Linked DNA regions of Mus musculus: all the other regions are reported to be linked to region 1. The links are microRNA targets in miRTarBase. Many come from high-throughput screens and were not tested one by one. Region 1 holds a microRNA gene; each other region holds the end of a gene's coding sequence.

What was found. Region 1 holds the annotated microRNA mmu-miR-301b-3p (CAGUGCAAUGGUAUUGUCAAAGC, at 2,295-2,317, shown strand). A microRNA usually pairs through its seed, bases 2 to 8, with sites in the 3' UTR of a target mRNA and lowers its output. Matches are read on the target gene's strand: a 7mer-m8 pairs with bases 2 to 8, a 7mer-A1 pairs with bases 2 to 7 and ends in A, and an 8mer does both.
Region 2: the mRNA of Pea15a is a reported target of mmu-miR-301b-3p. Seed matches in the 3' UTR shown: 7mer-A1 at 1,750-1,756 and 7mer-m8 at 1,521-1,527.
Region 3: the mRNA of Snip1 is a reported target of mmu-miR-301b-3p. Seed matches in the 3' UTR shown: 7mer-m8 at 962-968.
Region 4: miRTarBase lists Zfand4 as a target of mmu-miR-301b-3p. The part of its 3' UTR that is shown has no 7-base or 8-base seed match.
Region 5: the mRNA of Agfg1 is a reported target of mmu-miR-301b-3p. Seed matches in the 3' UTR shown: 7mer-m8 at 370-376.
Region 6: the mRNA of Mtmr6 is a reported target of mmu-miR-301b-3p. The part of its 3' UTR that is shown has no 7-base or 8-base seed match.
Region 7: the mRNA of Flvcr2 is a reported target of mmu-miR-301b-3p. Seed matches in the 3' UTR shown: 7mer-m8 at 1,047-1,053.

The regions. Positions count from the first base shown.
Region 1 is chr16:17,123,655-17,126,736 of GRCm38, reverse strand. Mir301b (microRNA 301b) reads left to right here and starts at 2,241; the gene lies at 2,241-2,337. It overlaps 2610318N02Rik (RIKEN cDNA 2610318N02 gene), which reads left to right and starts at 1,535. Exons shown (of 7, transcript NM_001358255.1): 1 at 1,535-1,747. Mir130b (microRNA 130b) reads left to right here and starts at 2,595; the gene lies at 2,595-2,676.
Region 2 is chr1:172,196,137-172,199,218 of GRCm38, forward strand. Pea15a (phosphoprotein enriched in astrocytes 15A) reads right to left here. Exons shown (of 4, transcript NM_011063.3): 3 at 2,975-3,082; 4 at 592-2,554. The coding sequence ends at 2,490. Dcaf8 (DDB1 and CUL4 associated factor 8) reads left to right here. Exons shown (of 14, transcript NM_001357204.1): 14 at 1-257. Among named protein-coding and RNA genes, the nearest start is that of Pea15a, 9.1 kb to the right of the region's middle.
Region 3 is chr4:125,072,440-125,075,521 of GRCm38, forward strand. Snip1 (Smad nuclear interacting protein 1) reads left to right here. Exons shown (of 4, transcript NM_175246.5): 4 at 227-1,604. The coding sequence ends at 491. It also overlaps the pseudogene Gm18480. Among named protein-coding and RNA genes, the nearest start is that of Snip1, 7.3 kb to the left of the region's middle.
Region 4 is chr6:116,329,131-116,332,212 of GRCm38, forward strand. Zfand4 (zinc finger, AN1-type domain 4) reads left to right here. Exons shown (of 10, transcript NM_001309446.1): 10 at 219-1,174. The coding sequence ends at 354. Among named protein-coding and RNA genes, the nearest start is that of Marchf8, 7.4 kb to the right of the region's middle.
Region 5 is chr1:82,894,751-82,897,832 of GRCm38, forward strand. It overlaps Agfg1 (ArfGAP with FG repeats 1), which reads left to right. Exons shown (of 13, transcript NM_001368850.1): 13 at 249-3,082. The coding sequence ends at 308. Among named protein-coding and RNA genes, the nearest start is that of Agfg1, 57 kb to the left of the region's middle.
Region 6 is chr14:60,300,215-60,303,296 of GRCm38, forward strand. Mtmr6 (myotubularin related protein 6) reads left to right here. Exons shown (of 14, transcript NM_144843.4): 14 at 59-2,157. The coding sequence ends at 307. Among named protein-coding and RNA genes, the nearest start is that of Mtmr6, 37 kb to the left of the region's middle.
Region 7 is chr12:85,811,842-85,814,923 of GRCm38, forward strand. Flvcr2 (feline leukemia virus subgroup C cellular receptor 2) reads left to right here. Exons shown (of 10, transcript NM_145447.2): 10 at 201-1,744. The coding sequence ends at 278. Among named protein-coding and RNA genes, the nearest start is that of Erg28, 12 kb to the right of the region's middle.

The DNA of each region.
Region 1 (3,082 bases):
AAAACATTACAAATGAAAAGCACAGGAGCAGCAGCAAAACACTTTAATTTTACATTTGATTTTTATTTTTATGTGTATGGGTGTTTTGACTGCCCATATGTCTATGCATGCAATGGCTTTAGAGACCAGAAGACGATACTGGACTGGAGTTACAGATGCCTTTGAGACAACTTGTGGATCCTGGGCATGGAACCTGAGTCCTCTGGAAGAGCAGCCAACCCTCTTAACCACTGAGCCTTCTTTCTGGTGAGCCCCCTCTCTTTAAAGACAGTATTTCATGTAGTTCAGGCTGGTCTTGAACTTCTGGCTCTTTTCTCCACTTCCCAAATGTTGGAATTTCTGGATGTTTTATTTTGTATCTGTGTGGAGCGATGCAGTGTGGTGGCTGTATCCCCAGTACTGCAAAAACCTAGGAGGATTACCATAAGCACAAGGCTAGCCTGGTCTACTCTGTGAGTTCTCAACTAGCCAGCCGTGATATACGATGTCTCAAAAAACCAGCATTCTTTTTTTTCCCAAAGAAGACAAAACAATGTAGGGACTGAGATATTATGGGTCAGTGTTAATAGCATTGGTTGCTCTACCAGAGCATATGGGTTTCATTTCCAGCATGCATGTGTTTGCTTACAATCCTCTATAGTTTCAGTTGCAGAGGATAGAAAGCCTTTTGACCTCCCTGAACACTAGGCATGTACATGGTGGTACAGACAGGCAAACAAAGCACCCATACACAAAAAATTACATTTAAAATTAAGTGGACAAAATGAGTTCTTGAAGATCGAAAACCAGCTCTGTCTGCTTTAAAAATATTTTCTTTCAGCCTTTGAGCTGGGGGGTAAAGATTCCCTGTCTCATATGGATATAACTAGGGGTAAAGCTCAGACGCCAGCTGCAAAACTCTGTTTTTCCCTTCGCTGACAGAACTGAGTAGAACACCTCAGGTTCTGGGTGCTAGGTGCTGTGTATCTTTGGACATATTAGCTCAGAAAGGTCACTTAATGAACTCTTACCCATAAAGTGGTTCACATTCTCAATGACATCAATGACATCAGAGCATTTCTTCACTTACAAAAAGTGCCAGGGCCTCCTCAGCCCAGCCAGAGGTTTCCTGATGACGATGCTCTGAAGTTGGACAGAAAGAGGGAAGGCCACGGTTTTTAAGTAAATGTCCCATCCTGGAGGAGCAATGAACAAATTTCTCGCGAAATACGAAGCATCCCCTAGGGGTTCATTCAACCGCTGGCTTGGCCAAAGGACACTTTGCCGGGATCTCAGAGCCCTCGCTAATTTGGTGAGCTGTGTAGTAAGCATGGACGCGCCCTCATGAGTATCACTATAATAACTACAGAGAAATGAGCTGGGAAAAGGCGGACAGAGCTCCTTTTCAAGAGTTATGAATGAGGAGAAAGTGTTTGTAGAACTCATTGTTAAAACGGTGGAGCCAAAACTCGGGCGCCTGGCCAATCGGAGCCTGGAGGCTATTTTGAAATCTTTCCAGCAGCAGCCAATAGGTGCGCAGGAGGCAAAGCTTGGTGTAGGCGCAAGCCAATGAGGCTGGCGCTGTGCCTTGAGGCCCGGGGCTCGGCCCTCGGGACTGTCAGATGGTTAAAGATGGAGCCGAGGGAGAGAGGGCGCCACGAGGTGCTGAGGTGCGGGGTTGTCCAGATATGACGGGGCCGCCGCCTACCTGGATCTTCCACTAAGCTTCACCTTGTCCCCCTGGTGAGAACAAGAGGTGTCTGTCCACGTGAGTAACTGGTCTGGGATAGGGTGTGCGGTGAGGCCAGGGAAACTCCAGATGCCAGGAAGCCCTAGTTCTGCTCTTCTAGGCAGGAGAATCTGTTAGGATAGAGTGCAGAACTCATACTGGGGGAATGGACCAAGGACCGGATCTCGGACTCCAAGGGCCTCACGTGCAAGGAGTGAAGTATCCCTCTTATTCTAGTTCTGGTCTGAAACAGGGTACAAGTAGTCCCACTGTGCTCCCCTCTGCAACTGAGCGCAGGCCTCTCTCCTTTGTGTTTGAGCCCCCTCGGGTGCTCGCCCTTCAGCTCCCTCCTTGGAGTACCTCACCAGAATCAGAAGCCTGTTAGAGAAAGTTTGAGTTCCCTGAAGTTAATAAGTCCAGAGGACTGCATCCGGGCTGGAATCCCGTCTGTTCTCCGAGCTTGGATAGATGTCCCACCCACCCATGGTGGTTGAATTTCCAGCGCAGCCCTGCGTGCAGCGAGGGCGATGGATTTCCTGCTGGCTGCGGGTGCTCTGACTAGGTTGCACTACTGTGCTGTGAGAAGCAGTGCAATGGTATTGTCAAAGCATCTGGGACCAGCCTCGAAGACCACCTCACCTACTGTTCCTTCTTTCTTCCCTTTCCAGGCCTGGCCCCTCAGGCCTGCAGGCCGTACCCTCCCCCTGCTCATTTTACTCTCTTCTCCATGGAAACTTGAGATTGTAGCCAGGCCCGTGTCTCTGGGGTCAGAGGGCATCCTTTGCTCAGGCCGAGGCTCCGCCCAGGTGGGCATGCGTTCTAGGTCTAAGATCCCACTCCAGCCACCCCAACTCCCCATGCCCCGCCCCACCCCGTGAGACTGACAGGCTTGTTGGACACTCTTTCCCTGTTGCACTACTGTGGGCCTCTGGGAAGCAGTGCAATGATGAAAGGGCATCTGTCGGGCCAGCTAAGGAGCCTGAGGAACAAAAGGGTCAGTGCTTGGATCATAGTCTTAGATAGAGATAGCTATCTCTAGCTAAAAGGATAAGGTGGATGCTGAGAACCATATTCCAAGGCTGGAACCAGTACAAAGGGGAGACCCCAGATTTGGAAAGGCTCCAGTCTCAAGCTCTTAGCCCCCTCCCCCCAGGTTAAGATAGGGGAGTCTGCTGCAGGGGGCGCGGCGGTGAGTGAATGGTAGGTAGCTCATGCCTTAAATCTCAGCACTTGGAAGGCAAAGGCAGGTGGATCACCCAGATCTAGGGCATCCTGGTCTACATAGTGAGTTTTAGGACAGCCAGGGATACACAGAGAAACCGTGTTTTGAGAAAAACCAAATTAACTAATTAATTAATTAATCAATTAAAAAAG
Region 2 (3,082 bases), not on the chromosome of region 1:
GTCAGGAGGCCTACACCATGGGATGGAAGTTGGAGAGAGAGCGGAGGGTGGTATCCTACACACTCTTTCCTCTTGACCCCATCCAGCAGCGCAGGCCAGATGCCAGCTCCTGGGCTTCCTTCGTGGCAGGGAGTGTGTGGTAACTGAGTAGTAGTCTTATGTCCTCACTGCTAGAGGGATGATGAGGTGGGCTTAAAACCATGCACTCTGGAATTTGTTGTATTTTTTTCTCAGTAAAGCTTTTCCCCTGACTGCTGCTTTGTGTGGTATGTGGTCCATTTATTGTGATAGAGGACATAGTGTACAGTGTATTCCTTCCAGATACATGCTTGATTTTGCTCATACTTAAAAAGTGAAGTCTGGGATATCCCTGTTTCTAGTGCTTGAGCCATAGAAGAATGTTGTAAGGGAAATAGGTCTGTTAATGTCAGTGGTGCTTAAGAGATGGGGCACTTTCTTTGGGGTTGTTTTCTAGTCCCTTGTTCTATACTGCAGTGAGTGGTGATAGGGAAAACATGGCTACACACCCCCTCCCAGTCATTCAGAGCTTCCCAAACTTAGTGACCCACAGAGATTCTAGAATCAGTCAGGTACGGTAGAGTCAGTCACCTTTATTCCAGGGTTAGAACAAGGCTGTGCACGCTGCAGACAGAGGAGCACAGGCTAGGAGCAACCTCACAGCAGCACGAGGGGGTGAGTATATTAGGGCAGGTTAGTCTGTTTAAAGTTTGGTTTTTGCCTTACAGAGAAGCTTCTGAGAAGCACCCTGTCTCCTCCCTCTTCCATAAGGGAAGCGCCGTCTCACTCCTGCTCCCATGGAACACCCCAGAAGGAAGGATGTTACCCAGAGTTCCTTTCTCCCACCCAGTTGTACAAGGATTTCTTGTCTTAAAGGAGATGCCAGGCAAGACTAGGGAGATTTAGGAAGGACCTTTAAGGCAAAGCTGGAGTCTTCGAGGTGTGAGAGTTAAGGCAGGTGTCTGCAGCAGTGGCCAGAGGAGATGGGCAATCTGGGCTCAGCTAGGAACTGAGGGTGCTCTAGTCAGTCTGGCTTCAAGAACCCTCTTCTGACAGCCATTCCTCCCCTCCCTGTGAAGTTTTGCTCCCACATCCTAAAAGCACCTACCTTCATCTTTCTCTAAATTGTCTCTTAGCTCACATGTAAATGTAACATTTGTTGTGGTTAGTTGAAATGTGTTCTTTTCTGTTTGGACTCTGTAACAATTTGGCTCTGCCACTTCCTTTCTGTGGCATCCCCTCCCACTCCCGCTCTGGCCTAGACAATAAGTTAATGCTAAAAACCACAAAAAAGGGCAGACATGGCAGTGCGGGTTTAATATACATATATGTAGAATATATATGTACACACAGTTAGCACGGTCAAGATGGGGAAGGGCATCTTGGGACAGGGAGGAGGCTGGGTTCACTCACTGCACTCTAGTGACTTGACTGTGTGGCATCCACAAACCCAAATGAGAAAGGTTACCAGTCCCTTCCTGGATTGAATCAGGGTGGTGGTCAGTGCAAAGGAAACACTGTAATTAACTACTTGCTTGGAGAATTCTAAACTGGAGAGTGGAAAGGTTGCCTACAATACTCTGTAGGTTGTGGGCAGGTTGGGGTTAAAACCTAAGGATCTCATCCCCCAATCTCCCTAGGCTCCAGGTCAGTTTATCCAACAGTCTGTATTTAGAAACTGAGGAGCAGAAAGTGGGCCTGTCTCTGCCTGCGTCCCTAGCTCAGGCTCAGTAGTGCATGGTCCCGGCATCGTCTCTCCAGAGCAGAAGGTTGGGGGACAGTAAATGCTGGCTTCTCCATTGGGGTTTGATCTTTGGGACCAGGAAAGGATCGAGTGGTCTTCTCATTAAGATTTCTGGCTCATCCGCATCCCAGGCCCATAACAAGGGCATAAGGAGGGCCCATTGGCACTCAGGACCTCAGCCTAAGGGAACAGCAGGAAGCTGGCTTCTAACCAGTCCAGCATAGAGATACAAACACTGAGTCCTGGCTTTTCTTTGTCCCTTACCAGGTGGAGGTTGAGTGGCCTCTTTACCTTCCTTCCCCACTGGTTTTCTTTAGATACAACCATCTCTCCCATACCTCATCTTCACCATAGCTCCTCAGTGTAGGAAAATGCAGGTCCTTTCTGCTTCCATAAAGATGTGGGGGAAGAGTGGAGGAAAGGGGAGAAGGAGGAGGAATGTGCCAATTTCTGTTTACATAGAAAAAGCGTCCACCTCCCCCTATAGTGGGGGGATTTAAGCCCCCCCTCCCTTGCCTCCAATCCCCTCATGAGGAGGAGGAACTAGATGAGCTAGACAGACAGACAGCCAGAGCGTGCGCACACGCACACACACGCGCATAGTAAGGGTTAGGACCAAGTTAGTAAATGGGTACGGAGCAGGGGGTTGCCCTAGCCCCTCCCATTGAGGATGGGGAAGGGAGTGGTCTGATGAAGATCCAACCTTCCTCCTCTTCCTCCCCCTTGTTCAGGCCTTCTTTGGTGGGGGAGCCAATTTGATGATTTCTTCTTCAGAGGGCTGCCGGATAATGTCTGAAAAAAAAAAGGGGGGTGTTCCCAGGGATGGAGGTCGCCAGGCAGGCAGGCAGGCCCATTAAGCATCAACCTCTCCCCAAATTCAGAATGACTTTCTACTCTTAAAAATACAGTCAGGCTGGGCGGTGGTGGCGCACGCCTTTAATCCCAGCACTTGGGAGGCAGAGGCAAGCAGATTTCTGAGTTCGAGGCCAGCCTGGTCTACAAGGTGAGTTCCAGGACAGCCAGGGCTATACAGAGAAACCCTGTCTCAAAAAACCAAAATAAATAAATAAAATAAATAAATAGTATATGTAGTATACATATACTATACAATATATAGTATATACATATATACACACACATACATGCATGCATATATATATAGTCAGACAGGGAAGGGAGACCTAGAGCTATGCCAAAGGTATGGCTTCTTACCTTTGTACTTCTTGGCACTGGGAATACGGGTTAGCTTGGTGTCCAGCTCCTCCTCCTCAGAGATCTTCAGCACACGGGTTCTGTAGTCAACCACCATAGTGAGGAGGT
Region 3 (3,082 bases), not on the chromosome of region 1:
CCCTCCATTCCCGGCCACAGCCTCAGCCTACCTTTCTCCTAGGTTATGTAAAGTGCTCTGAATTTCCCCATCAGGGCAGTACTTCCCCGTGACATTCCAGAATTTTCATTTGAATCCTGTTCAAGCCAAGTCATTGCCATTTAGATCTGTAGCATAGAGCTTTAGAAAAGAAGGCAGGTGGTCTCAGGTAGGATGCTCACATGCTTCTCTCCTTGGTCTCTCCTAGGCTTGTGGAGTACACCCGTGCTGACGGCACGGTTGGTCGGAGGGTGAAGCCCTACATTATCGACCTTGGCTCAGGCAATGGAACATTCTTGAACAACAAGCGTATTGAGCCACAGAGATATTATGAACTGAAAGAAAAAGACGTACTTAAATTTGGGTTCAGTAGCAGAGAATATGTCTTGCTTCATGAGTCTTCAGACACCTCTGAACTTGACAGGAAGGAAGATGAAGATGATGAGGAGGAAGAAATGGTATCTGACAGCTAGCAGCTGAGAGGCAGCCTCTACTGTTAGAAACCGTCCCTACCGGAGGCTGTGGTGGTCACTCCAGCGCCTCTTCTTGCCTTAAGTCTTTTCTCTGTTGCTGCCCAGCCTATGTTGCAGTATGAGAACTGTCACTTCATGTTTTCTTGAAGTTGGCACAGCAGCTGCCTGCTTGTGGGCCCTTGTTTTCTGAACAGTCTCACCAATTACAGCATGTCGAGTCTGGTCAGAGCGTGTGGTGGGCACCTTCAGAACTGCTGCATAGCAAACTGCCCTTGGAAAGGGGATGGTGGCTTCTTCTCTTTGTACAGTTTCCTATTTATATAGCTGTTGAGCTTTGTGGACCAGGAGTTTTGTTTTGGGGACAAATCCTAGAGTAGAGAATCTTAGTCAGCTTTGGTTGTCACCAAAACAGCCTCCAGCCTATACCAAAGCTTTGACCTGATTCAGCTCTTGAGTCATAGAAGTTGATTTTGCACTTCGTTTTGGGGGTGACAGTTTACCACGTGACTTCTCTATTGGCTGTCTTCGATAAACAGACACTCTGTGCGATGTCTGTGTGACAAGACTGTAGGGAGGTCGTGGCTTCTACCAACAGGAGCTGCTGTCATACTGTGCACTGGTCTGTAGATCTGCACCCTGAGGATTCCTGATTTCTTCATGAAGCAGACATCATAGTTTGATCATCTGGTCTTTTTCTTTAGCTTTGAATTTTTATTCAAATGTCGCCTCTCTTCTCCCTTTGAGAAACACCACACTGACTTTGTAGGAGGGGCCTTGCTGTGGCCTAGGGATGTGTGTATGTGTCTAAACGAGGTTGTGTAGCTTCCACACTTCCAGTTCATCTTTGACCATGTGTTCATATTTTCCTCCCACGGGTGGAAAGTAAGAGACAGCCGAGTGTCTGAACTTCCCACCTGGGATCTGTGAGTAGAAAGATACTCCTTACTGACAGTCTGTGTGCTTCAGAGCTATGTGCTGGGTTTCATATGTCAGTGTTTTGCGATATAAATAATACCACATGATAGGCAAAGGCCTGTCTGCATTTGGAGAGCAGGTTTTCATTTATATGTATTTTTGAGATTAAAAAAATAAAATTTGTAAATATAGCCTCATTTTAGAGGGTATTACTTTTCTCACATAAATGACTTGTTCATAGGTGTGTTTGCTTCTAAAGGAATCTTTATAAACTGTTCTGAGGTAAAAGTACTGTGTGTGTAGAGAATTGTAGGGAGAGGCCTGAAGTACTGAGGACAGAAATCGCTTATCTCAGCAAGGAGGGCGTGGGGCATGAGCTGTCAGGGAAGGATTTGTGTCAGTGCTCTACATTTGGTGACCACTCTGTCCCCGGGTAGAGATGATAGCAATCCTCCTGGGCTGCTCTTAACTTCCTCCTGGGCTGGGATTTAGGATGCTGCGGAGTAGACTGTCTTGTTTGTACAGTCAGGGTCTCACTTGTTCTCAGGGCTAGAGGCTGGCTAACACAGGAGGGTCAGCTCAGGAACGTGTTAGGAAGAGACTTACACAGTCCCTACGGTGTGCAGGGTCAGCCCAGGAACGTGTTAGGAAGAAAAGCACAGTGTATCTTGGATATTTTTCTTAATTCAGACACCATTTTCTGCCCGAGAATCCACAATAACCTGCTACCCTACTTCAGTGCCTTCTTTCCCAGGGATAGTTTGTGGATTTGCTTTCTCGATGAGCACTGTGCAAGGTGACCACTTTACCTACATTTTTTTTGTAAAGAGGTTCCAGGAACCAGAAGTGGCGACTCATGCCTATAGCCATGAGCTTGGAGAGGCTGAATTCAGCAAGAGGATTGGTGTAGATGTTAGGGCGTGTGGAATGTGAGGCAGCCTGGTCTACCTAGGAAAACTTTAATCTCAATAGAAATGTCCCAGTTGTTCTGATAGCAAACATTTGCCTTAGTGGAGCGCTGGCGTCCCAGGTTAAGAGCTTCATGTTAAGTCATGCGAGATGTCTTTTCTTAGAGACTTGTTCATCTTAACTATTTGCAAGGTCTTAACTGTCTTTCTCCACCTGACGTACAGCTGTGTGCAAAACAGCTCTCTGCCGCTGAGCGTCCACACCAACTTCTCCTTGTGCTCCCGGGTTCTACAGAAGTGGGCCAAAGAGATGGCTCAGCTAGTAGAGGTGCTTGTCACCAGCCCCAGTGGCCTGCATTTGATCCCCAGAACCCTCATGGTGTAAGGACAAATCAACTCCCACAAGCTGTCCTCAGACCTCCACATCTGGGTGGGCACGCAAGATAAATTGTGTGAAAGTCCTCCCTGGTCCTCTCACCTCCGTTGTTTCCTATTCTGACATCACAGATAGCTCACTGGGTGCAAATGCTGATGGCCATCCCAGATACTTGTACTGTGTTTGGGTGCTGTGTGGACGAGAGGAAAATGAGCTGAGATAGTGGTATCTGAAACCGTACTGTAGGTAGATCGGTCGGGAATTCATCTTGTAGTCCAGTCTATACTCAAACTACTGGCTATCCTGTCTCAGCAAGTTTCTGCCTGTCCCCTAACACCCTCAGGTCTTCACTGTGGTCCTCCAGCATCAATCTGAGCACCCAAAGTAGCTGG
Region 4 (3,082 bases), not on the chromosome of region 1:
CTTTTTTTTTTACTTCAATAAGATGTATAGCTGTCATTCATGAACAAGTAGTTCTTTGGGGGCTTTATACTGCTGCGTGAAGTGGGGGGGGGGGAACTGTTGGTACTGAAATTGCTAAGGAGATCCAGAGGGCTTTGTTGGTCCACTTTAAGTCAAGCTAAAGAGATGAGCCCTCCGTGGAAATGTGAGTATTCACATAAAGTTTCTTTGTGCTTTAGATGTGGAAACAACTTCTGTGCATCTCACCGTTATGCAGAAGCTCACGGCTGCACTTACGACTACAAAAGTGCAGGGAGGAGATACTTAGAGGAGGCCAACCCTGTGGTCAACGCACCAAAACTTCCCAAAATCTAATTCTTCTCTGCGCTTTACTGCTTTGCCTGAGGAATCGATTATATTTGACAGAGAAATATTGTTTAGACTGCATTATTTTTGTTCGACTCCAAAAGATTTGCCAAATAACAAGCGCACATAGTGTGCACTGTTGGAGACTGAAAATGCCTACTGTATTGATGTCTTTATTCTTTGGTGAATCAAAAGTTTTAAAAGTAGTTTTAAAAACTTTACACTATAATGATTTAGTTTTGTTATTGCATGTCTGTGTTAAGTATTTTACATTTGAGATTGGAATTATTAGACAAATCTTCCAAAGATGCACTTTAGGAAGTTGCTATTGGCCACATAACTAGGCTTCCATGTTGTACAGCAGTGAGTGGTTCCATATGGCTCTGTTCAAACTGAGCACATTTTGCCTTTTTTCTTTCTTTTCTTGGGGGGATGGGATAAATGGGATATTTTTTAAAGAATAAATCCCGCATGTGAAAGTTTATGAAGGTTACTAGCAGGTTCTTTTTAAAAGAACATTTGGTTTTTTTTAAACATGTGATTTTTAACACATATATTTCTTCCATATTCAGATTGGCATTCATATATGTATCCATTCTGTAGAACACATCATGTTAATATAGTATACATTTAAAAAAATACTACTTTTTAAATGGTAGTTTTAAAATAACAGTATCTTACTTGTTGCCATTGAAAAAAGAATCCAACTTTTCACTTTCAAAAATGGCTATATATATATTTTTTTAAAGTCTCACAAACTTGGTTTATTTTTCTTACATATTGAGTGCTTTTACAGGGGAAATTCAAATAAATATTCAACTTCACTATGACTTTATTTGATTATTTACAATACATTTTCTTTTATAAAGTACTTAAATAAATAACTGATTTATTATACTTGGGGGAAATGACTGGCAGTATAAAGGTATTATTTTAAGGTCTGAGGGCTTTGTTCTTAGGTAGAATGAATTTTCTATTCAGGACTTTGGAGGGCCATTGAAGCTAATGTTGAATGTGAGGCAACAGCTGTCAGGCGGCTAAGTTAGGGGCTGCACCCTTGTTTCCCACAGGGGCTCCCAAAGGCCATTTTAGTGTGTCATAGACCACTCACTCCACTGAGGGTTGCCTGGAGAACTCTTGATACTCCTCTCTCACGTCATAGAGGAGATTGAATGGTGAGGGACAGACCTGCCATCAGACCTATAGTAAAGGAGATTAGTTAAAGAGAACGGTAATAGAGGAAGGAGCCTTACAATTAAAGATGGAGGGTATGCTTTTGTTTGTTGGTTTGCTTTGTTTTTTGTTTTTTGAGATAGGCTCTCAAGACTGTAGCCAAGGCTGCCTTTGACTCACTGTGTAGCCCAGGCAAGCCTTTGAATTCGCAGCAGCCTTTAAGCCTCAGTCTCTCTTGTGCTAGGATTATAGGCTGGAGTTAACACTCTGCTGAAGACATGCTTTGTATGTGTGGCACATGAGTGCATTTGAAGGATACATGAGGCCAGAGCAGGATGTCAAGTGAGCTGCACCAACAGGTCATTCTTCAGTGGCAGGGTCCTCAGTGAGACAGGTAGGAGATGAGAAGGTGGGGACACTGGTGTTTGGAGATCTTATGCTTAGCAAGCTTAACAAGTACAGCATCTTAAATTCTATTTCCACAGCAGAGTAGGACAGAGTTAACAGAAACTATCGAATAATGGAATGAAGTTAGCATGAAGTGAGTCCAGCAATGTTGTACAAAAGGGAACACAGGCTTCCTCAAGTTCATCACAACAGAGCACGTAGTGGCCTTAGGACTGATTACTCCAGCCTCTTTAGGGGAAAAAGCCAAGTTTCTAGGGACCAAATCCTTTAACTCCTCTGAGGCCCTGGCCCCAGCACCAGCCCAGCCCTTGCCAAGTCTACTTTTGGGCAAAGACACAGCAGTAGGTTCCCTTTGTCTTTTCACTGGTGCCTCTGAGAAAGCCTTAGACCTGCCCATCCCTGAACAGTTAGGTATCTATCATTCTCCACCATATTGACTTGAAACAGGTTTTTGCCATGTTGGCTGCCATGCTGGCTAACCAGCTCCCGGGACCTGCCTGTCCCTGCTTGTGGTCACCCTGTCAATGTTGTCATTATGGCACTTGGAGCCATGCCCAGCCACTGAGCATTTGCCCATGCTTGCTTGCAGTGTAAGCGCTCAATCACTGAAGTGTCTCCCTAGCCCTGAAAGGCATGCTTTTAGAGGAATAAGTAAAGGGTAATGACATATCTGTGAGAAATTATGTCTTTTCTCTCCTTTTTTTTTTCCCCCTGAGACAGGGTTTCTCTGTGTAGCTAGCCCTGGCTGTTCTGGAACTCACTTTGTAGACCAGGCTGGCCTTGAACTCAGAAATCCACCTGCCTCTGCCTCCCGAGTGCTGGGATTAAAGGCATGTGCCACCACAGCCGGCTCATGTCTTTCCTCTCCTACCAAGTAATAAATATGGTTTAGAAATATATTTTTAAAAATGCCAGGAGGAGGTAGCTCACACCTCTAATCCCAGACTCACAGGCAGATCTCTGAGTTTAAGGCCAGCCTGGTCTACAGAAAAATACTGTCTTGAAAAAAAAAGCAACAAAAAACAAAAACAAAAAAACCAAACCAAACAAAACAAAAACAAAAAAAATTTCATATGCACAGGCACTGAAAAATGAACCAAAGCATATTTATTATATAAATATGAATATGTAGTTAGATTGGATATATGTTTTGCAT
Region 5 (3,082 bases), not on the chromosome of region 1:
CCAGATTCGCTGTTTTATCATGAAATGCATGCACGCTTGTCAAATTATGCTTGAGGAGAAACTGCTAGATTTAGGGAAGAGGAGTCCTAAGAATGAAATTTTTTTATTTGAACTTACAAGTTCTTCTTTAAGTGCTAGGTTCCCCTTTAGGCATATTCAAGCCGTGCATGTGTGTGAAAGCTCTCATCTCATCCCATCCCGACATCATTTCTATCTGTTGACTTTGTCCTTGTGTTTGTTCCCGACAGACTGGTGCGCCGACAGGACAACTTCCAACAGGAAGCTCATCCACCAACCCTTTCTTATAGCCTTACTTAGACTCTGTACCGGAACGAACGTTTATGTGACCATATTACATCTCTTCGCCTCTTGCACTGTTGTCTTGTTTCACTGATCTTAGCTTTAAACATGAAAGAAGTCCTTAAAATGCCTGCACTGTGTATTAAACACCAGGTAATATGTGCAAAACAGAGGGCTCAGCAACAACTTTTCACTTGTGAATTGGCAGGAAAAGGTAGCGGCATCATGTAAGTTAAAAATTGGCTAATGTTAAGTTATTGCAGATCCCACATTCATTATGCTGCAGTACTGTACATATTTTTCTTAGAAATTAGCTATTTGTGCATATCAGTATTTGTAACTTTAACACATTGTTATGTGAGAAATGTTACTGGGGAAATAGATGAGCCACTTTTAAGGTGCTGTCATATAGCTTGGAATGAATGATTAAAATCATTTGAAGCATTGCTTCTGGGAAATTCAAATTGGAAGGTTTTATTCATTCTTGAATTTTTCCTTCTCAAGAGCTCTTCTATTCATACACGGCTAAGTTCTTTAAAGATGTGGAGGACACCTGTCTGCGGAATAAAGCTGATCATGTTTTGCTACAGTTTGCAGGTGAACAAAATAAATCTTAGAAAATATGCTATTGTTTTTGTGTTCTTGCTGCAATGCCTTTACCAAAGTGGCCTTAAATGTAATGAGTAGTGAGTTGAGAACATCTTGAACTCTTAAAGACTTCTAGTGACTAACTTTTTTTAAAAGGCCATGTAGAAAATTTATTAAAACTACTAGGACTGCTATATTCAGGAATGTGACAGTGGAAAAGCATTTAAATGTAGCTTGTCAGATTCACCATGCTACTTCTAATTTCTCTGCAACTTCTTAATTTTGTGAAATTTGTAAATATGGAGAATTTGCATGTATGTGTATTTACAAATATTTTTTAAAGATCTTGAATTCTCAGACTGCAAAAGGCCTACTTTAACTATTTTCCCCTCTGTTTTCATTGTCTTTGAATGTATTGGAAGCAGACATGCATTGACTGTGACATGGTTGCACCTGAGGTTCCCCCCTCACTTTCTGGACAGACTGATACTATCTATCAAACATTTGTTTCTGTTGGTTTGGGGATAAAGAAAAAGGAACCCAATGTTACCTTAAAGTGATGAAATACTTGTGTAAAAAGGTAGCAATACTAATTTTAGTTTATCTTTTTGTTAATATTCAAATGAACTGTTTAAATATTTATATGTAGTAATGCCTCGTTCATCCCAGGATAATCTGGCCCTTTCATCAAAACCAAATACAACTAAGAATTGAAATGATTAAAAAGAAATCTTTGAACAATACCCCTAAGTTATGAATTTTGTATGTAGAGTATATGCATTTCTTTGAATGTGTTTAATAGTTTGGTAACTTGATTTATTGGTCCATAGCATATTAATGTTAACGAAAGGAAGGGTCCAGAACAAGGATGGAAAGCACGTCCTGCCAAAGGCTCCGTAGGGACAGCCAGCCCAGTTGAGAAGTAGTAACTCTGTGCCATCAAAAAAGCTGAAATTGCATACACAGTATGTAATGCCTGTTAGAAAGTAACTTAAAAAAATTTTAAAGCATTGGTTTAAGTGATATAAGCATCACTTTTCTCACATGTTGTATTTATAGTGGATGTATTTTTGCAGTGATGGCTGTCTATTCTCATACTCTAAAGTCGCGGTGTTTACTTTAAGCACTGCAGTTGGGTGCCATCCTTACTGGGAAGTTGTGCTTTGTATGTACTTGACAGGTGACGTGCCTGAGACTTAGTCCCCTCTGACCAACCTGCCACTGAGAATCTAGCTGGTGTTGTTGAGGCTTGCCTGCATTTTGGGCATAGTCTTGAACTCTTTGTACATTTTGGGGATCTCATCTGTTTTCATGGAGGGAAAACTTAAATCTTTAAACTTTGGTTTGAGATTGTGTCAGATCCAAATCAATTCATATGTACAAGTTAAACTATATAATTATAGGCCATTACCCAGATGACCCACCAGGCTTTCCATCTATTGAGTAAATTAAACAGTTATCAAAATAACTTTAAAGACTATTTTTTCAAAAAGCTCTGAGGTGTATAATGAAGTGGGGGTGGAGGGACTGTTCTGACTTCCAGTGAGTGCCTATAGTAAAAATAGAAGTTCTTAGGTTCAGAGCAGTTCCAGTGTCACAGTGGGTCTTCGCATGGTTTTTGTCTTTTAAAATTCCCCATCTTTTAGGCTTAAATTTGGGGTTGCTTCTAGTTTTCGGCACTGTGTTGAGCATTGAAAGGGTAGTGCTCAGAGTGATGGCTGAGGGTCTTCACAGTGTGGGCTCAGTGCTCACAGCACACTTCCTGCTCTGTCTCTCATCAGAAGTGAAGTTCTGTGTTGATAAATTTAAAATCATCTTGGTCTTTATGATTTAAGGAATGTTTTATTTTAGACTTTTTTTTTTTTAAATAGAGGTTAGTTTGTCATCTCCCATAAGATCATTTGTTCTGTAAATTAAATACCCGTTCTATGGGGGGTACTTGGTAACTCTTCCCGTCAGTTGCAAAGTGGAGAGAGTGGCTGGCTGTGTACAGACAGTCACTGTGCTGGCATTTATGAAACAAGCTGTTTCACAGTCATAGTTCTTATAACTGTTGATGGTCCCGGCAGGAGCTTTAGTTTATGAGACTTGACGCTTTCATAAGGTTAGTATATTACAAATAAATACAGAGGGATTTCTAAAGCACACCTTTTAGATTTGACTGTAATAGCCCTATTACTTGTTACCATAGATA
Region 6 (3,082 bases), not on the chromosome of region 1:
ATCGATCACCTGTTAGCTGTAGTTACTAATGTTTTTTCAACGTTTTGTTTTGCTTTAGAAAATTAAGCAATGCAAAAATGGCATCCTAACGAAGGAGTTGCTGCATGCTGTCCACCCTGAATCACCTGCCCTGAAAACCTCGCTGTGTCTCAAAGAGCCGAGTCTGCTTCCCGTGAAGGACACACTCCGAGCTATAGAGGGCAGCAGCCCAGCAGATAATCGCTACTGTGACTATGCCGAGGAATTTTCTAAGTCGGAGCCTACCGTGGTCAGCTTGGAGTACGGGGTGGCCAGAATGACTTGTTAGCCTCCTTCCGTGATCCCTGGATGACTGTAGTGTAAGAAATGTATAGTTGTGAGGATGGTCTGTACACATGGGCAGGAGGGGTTGTTGAGTGACTTTGGGGCTTAGCAGTAAGTGAGAAAGTAGGTAGCTGAGAAAAGGATCATAGCAACTCTTGAGAGGAGTGAGTCAGCTAAGTGCCATTTGTAACAAGAACATACTCATTTCTGTAGGAAGTGAGTGCTAGTGTGTGTATGTACTGGAAAGGGGTTACACAGGACTGGTGAGCTGACAGTCTGTTGATTCAGATGTTAATTCCAGCCACGCTCAGTAGCTTTCCTCTAACTCTGAGAAAACAGACCTGACAACCTGAACCCTCAGTGACTGATGTGGCATGTGCTTTCAGTTCTGGAGCTGTGTGACTGTGGATTTTGCAGTCACAAAAATCCAAATATATAGTCAAAAATATAGTGACGTTTTAACATTAAAGTGCCATGAAAAGTACTTATGGGACAGCCTTAAAGTAGACTCTCAGTTTATTCTGTGGGTTTTATAGCCGAGGACAGGATGTTTGATCTCTCCTTTAATCAGCCTTATTTCATATGAAGAACTAACTGCACTCTGATTACTTGGGGGCCGCACACTGCAGTGCTCCACCATGGAAAGTTGTAGACATACTCTGCTAGTTTGTAATTAGCCAGCTCCACCCGTATTTAAAATCAGTGTTACCGAAGGCTTTGTTCTCGTTGTCATTTGTTCCAAGCTGCAGCTGACAGTTCATTATTCACAGCTTAGAGGACTCATTTCTTAGGCTAGTATAAGCACATTTGGCATTTACTTTCGGCTTACTGCAGTCTATTAATTCTTACTCTGTGGTTGGCTTTAATCCTTTGATAACTGTACATTTAAAGTGGCAAAGCTCTAAAGCGTTCTGAGTACTAAATACATTTTTAACTTGACTGTAGCTGCCTATAAACTTTCAGGTAAAGGAAAAAGGGAAGTGCGGGTAGTGGAGATTTTGCTTGGTTACGAATTCTAAAGCAATCATTTTTGTGTGGAGCATATTTCCTTACTCTTAATATAGGAGGGGCAGAGAAGGGAGCACTGGGGGAGCCAGCTAATGTCCAACAGAAGCAGCTTTGACGCAGGAAAAGGTTTATTTTGCTTTATAGGCTCATTGTTATTCTGTGCACTGGGGCATACATATCTTTTCTAAAAAATCACTTACAACTGTCAGTATTACCAGCTGGCTCTCAAAGTTTAATATCATTGATGGTGTGTGAGGTACAGTTCAGGGGCACTACAAAATCTGTGTACATTGTCTTATATACCTCCTGACCACACCTATATCTGTAGTATTTCTTGTGTTAGTTTTGAACATATGTATCTTTTTTTTTTTTTTGGGAAAAAAAAGGAAAGCTTTATCGTATATGATTTTATCTAGTCCTTATTTTTCCAATTCACTTCTGTAAGACCTTATGTAATAAAAACACTGCATTTTAAAAAGTAACAGAAATATACTAAAAATTACAATGTATAATGAACAGTGTTTAGACATTGAGAAAGGAAACTTAATCTCTGTGTCCACAACAGGAGGGTTTTGTGCCTTGGTTCCAGTCAAGTTGTGGTTTTAGACTTCTGTGGCAGACTTCCTAGTCATCTTCTGGGTTCCTTATGCTAATTTTCAACTTCACATGTATATATGTGTTTACATGCTCACACAGAAAACATCCTGAGTGACGTACAGGACATACGTTGGCAAAAGTCTGTGTAAATGTCTCATAAAATTAGATTTATGTTCATTGTGTTTTGGGATGTATAGCATGTAAATTATTTCATGTATTATTTAAAGGCAATTAAATGTTCATGCTTTACTTTGAGTGTTTTTCTTTTGGGATAAAAAACAAATGAGGAAGGATCCTAGAGGAGAACCTGTCACTGTCACTTTACTGAACTGGCATGATTCCTAACTGCATGCTAAATCCAGTTGTGGATCCATGAGTGGAGCTCTCATCCCTCGTTAGAGGAACTTCTTTTTGTAGCAGATGGAGACCATAACAGAAATCCACAAGTGCCCAAAATGCTGAGAGCAGCTGACCACAGAGTGCCCGATGCCAGCTGACACAGCTACAGCACAGTCCTGCACAGGAGGCTCAGGGGACACAGCAGGAGGGTGCACAGAAAGATTAGGCAAGCTGTAAGAGCCAGAGAACCAGGAAATATGCCTTGATTTTGTGTTTCTTAGAAATGACAGGGAAGCTGCACACCCATCATACCACAACAATATGGTTGCCTGAACAGTGACATCAACAGTTGACATGGCAACATGGATGCGGAACGTCTCACAGGACCTCACCAGAGACCTAAGACCACAGGAAATTCATCATTGCTGAGAGAGGAGAATCCATCTGCCCCAGTGTTGAGCCTAGAAAATGGTAATCCAGTTGCAAGTGGTCAGCCCTGAAATCGTGTACATACAAGCCAGTCTAAACAGGGAAAACAAAAAACAAAAAACAAAGTTGTGCTTTTTTTCCCCTTGCTTGGGCGAAGGGTCTTATAATTACCTTAGCACAGTGGAGTTTTAGCATTTCATTTTCCAAAGGTATTGACACATTCCTTTTATATACAACCATGCTTTCTGAATAATTAACCAGGTTGTGGCTGACAGGTTCAGTAGAGAGTGATGAAGTTGTAGAAGTGCCTTGGTCCGTGGCCGGTTATCTGTGCTGTTACCAGCTTGCAGGTGGAAGCCTGGGTCCACCAAGTAGATACATTCAAGGTGAACTGATCCAATGCCAG
Region 7 (3,082 bases), not on the chromosome of region 1:
GTTCCCTCTGAATGGTGACGGTGATGGTGTCTGGGGGACACACTCAGGCTGGGCTGCTTCTTTCCTCATGCCTATGGGGACACCGGGCAGCCTCCTGAGCTTGGACTTACCACTGATTGGTCGCGGACAGGTAGCTGCTTCAGTCAGCCTGGAGGAGGTCTGTATGTTTCAATTATAGGGCTGTTTTCTTTGCCTTCTAGAAAGTCCAGGAGGAGGAAGAGGAGGAGGAGGGGAGCAATACCAGCAAGGTACCCGTCGTGTCGGAGGCTCATCTCTGAGAGAGGTGGCAGATACTCAGGAACACAAACACTCACCTCTTGGTTCCAGTTAGCTGTTACTGCCAGTACTGAGATTCTCATGGGGAAACTTTTCGAAGCAGCTGGAAGATGTGTGCCTCGCACGGCAGTGCCTGAGCCTACTGGACCCTACCCGAGAACCTGCATGGTTTACTCGGGGAAAACCTCACCTCTCTTCAGATGCAGACTGGATTCTGGTCCCCACTCCCTTTTAGGTCTTGGGCTAGTGCTGGGAGAGGCCGTGGAGGTGTTGAAGTCCGTCCTTGCTTGGTCTCTTGCCTTCTCTCATCCCTTTCTTCTCTCGTGGAGAATGCTTGCAAAATTATCCTAAGAAAGCTTATTCAGGATATTAACTTTTTCTAATGTCTTAAGAGCACTTCTTACTGCAAATGGGCGAACTGCTCTGCCTGAGGGTCACGAGAGGAAGCACCCCAACAGGCCTCCATCATCCCAAGGCAGCTCAATCCGGACTCTTGGCTTTGCCCCCCCCCCCCCCAAACTGCAGTGTTTCTTCAGATCGTCTTTCCTAGAGTCAAGGAGACTAAACACCAATAAACCAGATAAAACCTTTGTGGCCACAAAGGAGAAAGCGATTAGAGAAGGCTCTCTGCCTAGGTGCGACAGTGCAGGGAGGGGGCTGCCGGGAGTGTGTGTGGGGCTGAGTTGGGATGGGAAGGTGTTTTCCTACAAAGGTGGTGCTCGCCCATGGCCTTCTGTGTCCCAAAGCACTCAGAATATCTTCATTGGATATTGCACTGTGAAATGCAGCCATCAGGGGCTCGTGGCTCTAACCTTTATTAAAAGTTAGTCTCACTCACTCTACTCTGACACATAAGGCTATCTCCTCAGGAGGAGAGAGGTAGAAGGTGGCTCTTAAAATAGACATGTCTGCTCCAGTTAAACATGAGGCCATGCATGTTGAGGACTATTTGAACAACCAAACCCCCTCCCTGTCCCTGCTGGCGAGAATCTTTGTCAGTTATTTTACATTTAAAAGGATTATTTTTAAACCAATCTCAGTTGACCTTTTTACCCACCCAGTCTGCTGGTTATACTCATGGGCTTTCATAGTGTCTTCCCCAAAGAGAAACTGGCAGCTAATTGTTCCTATGCCTTGAGCAACTCTGGTCATGGACTGTTGGGTTGTCTGGCCTTAGCATACCAGATTACCCCGTTTGCCTGCAGTACTGGGGTATCGGGCCAGATATGTGTGTGTTTGTGCAGTGGATGGGAGGGAAGCAGCCGCCTGGTGGAGGGAGTGTTAGGGATGGAAGAGATGCCTTACTTTCTGTCAAGAGAAAGGTGTTTTTTCTTTAATTGTTCAAAGTGGACGTGTTTACTCAATTCATTTCTTTATTAATTCATTTCTTTATTTAAAAAAAACAACATAATTTGTATTTCCTGTGTGCAATACCAGATATTTTAAGGCAATAAAGATTTTCAAAGTGGTCTGCCTCATCATTTAGTGAGGCAGTGGCAGTTTTGGGAGGTCCCTACCAGGTTATCTCCCTTTCCTGAGAAGACTGTCTGGGAGATGACTGCAGGTAATGGCAGAGCAGCTGTGTCCTTTGTTGACAAGGGTGTAACATCCTGTGGGAATTTTAAAGAGACTTTAAAGGTTCCTGACCGCCTACATAGAAGCTCTAACTCAGTGGCCACCCTGTGACCCTGACTTCCCCCTTCCTGTGTACAGGCTGGAATGGGCTCCTCCCTAAGGGAAGGCCCAGTGTTGTCTTTGGCTCTGCCTCAAAGGGCACTGAAGTGTTTTGTTTGACCACCCACACCAGCTTGCCCTGGCCGGTGTCTGCAGCTTGGTTCTGGCAGTGGCAGCTTGGTACTCCCTCCTGGTCTTCCCCACTCTGATCGACTTAATGTCTGTAAGCCAGGTTCACAGCTGTCACTTTTTCTGCATCTTTCTTACCTTGAGATGTGCCCCATGCCTGTGACATTTTGGCACTCTATTTCTTAGCAATTTTTATCTGGAGAGACCACGACTCTACTAGTCAGTTAGAGGGGAGGTACTGAGCCCTGTTCCTAAGGAGTCTGCTATTCATAGTATGTGCTCAGTGCACCTTATCCCTTCTGGGCTCGCATGTCAAGGCATTTGTAAGCTGTGTGCTCAGGGAGCCATCATCTTACACACTCGCTCAGCCCTGTCAAAGGTGGTCTCCAGAGGAACCCACTTCTTAAAACAGCGAGAGGATAAAGGTAACTCTTCCCATTGGGCTGCCTTTCTGGTGCTGTGGGGATCTGAGGTCTGGAACTACATTCTCTTTTGGTACTTACAAGTGAAGCCAGCCTGAATCACAAGCCAGAGTTGGGCAAAGCTGGAAGGACTGCACTGAATGAGAGCCGGAGACCCGACCGAAGCACCACCAAACCCCGGGAAGCCCACTTTTTTTTTTTTTTTTTGCTACAACAGCCACGGCATTTTTACTGTCTAAAGTCATTTAAGGTAAAATTCCCCCTTAAAGCGCTGATGCTCTCTATGTACTTAACTAAGACATCAGCCATCTCCTTACCTTTGTGAGCTACTTCCTCCTCTGACCTCCAGCCTTTCACAGGTACAGCCTTCTCCCTCTTGTAGCTTCACGGTGCTCAGTCCTTCAACAGCTGCTGCTCTTTTTGCTCAAAATGCCTCAATGGCATTTAATGCTTCAAACAACCTTCTGGACATTGAATCTCAAGACACCCACCTTCTGGGCATTTAAGTCTCAGCTGAGGACCCCCCCCCCCCCCAAGCTCAGGAAGATCTTTCTGATCTATTTAATTATCATCTACCTAGC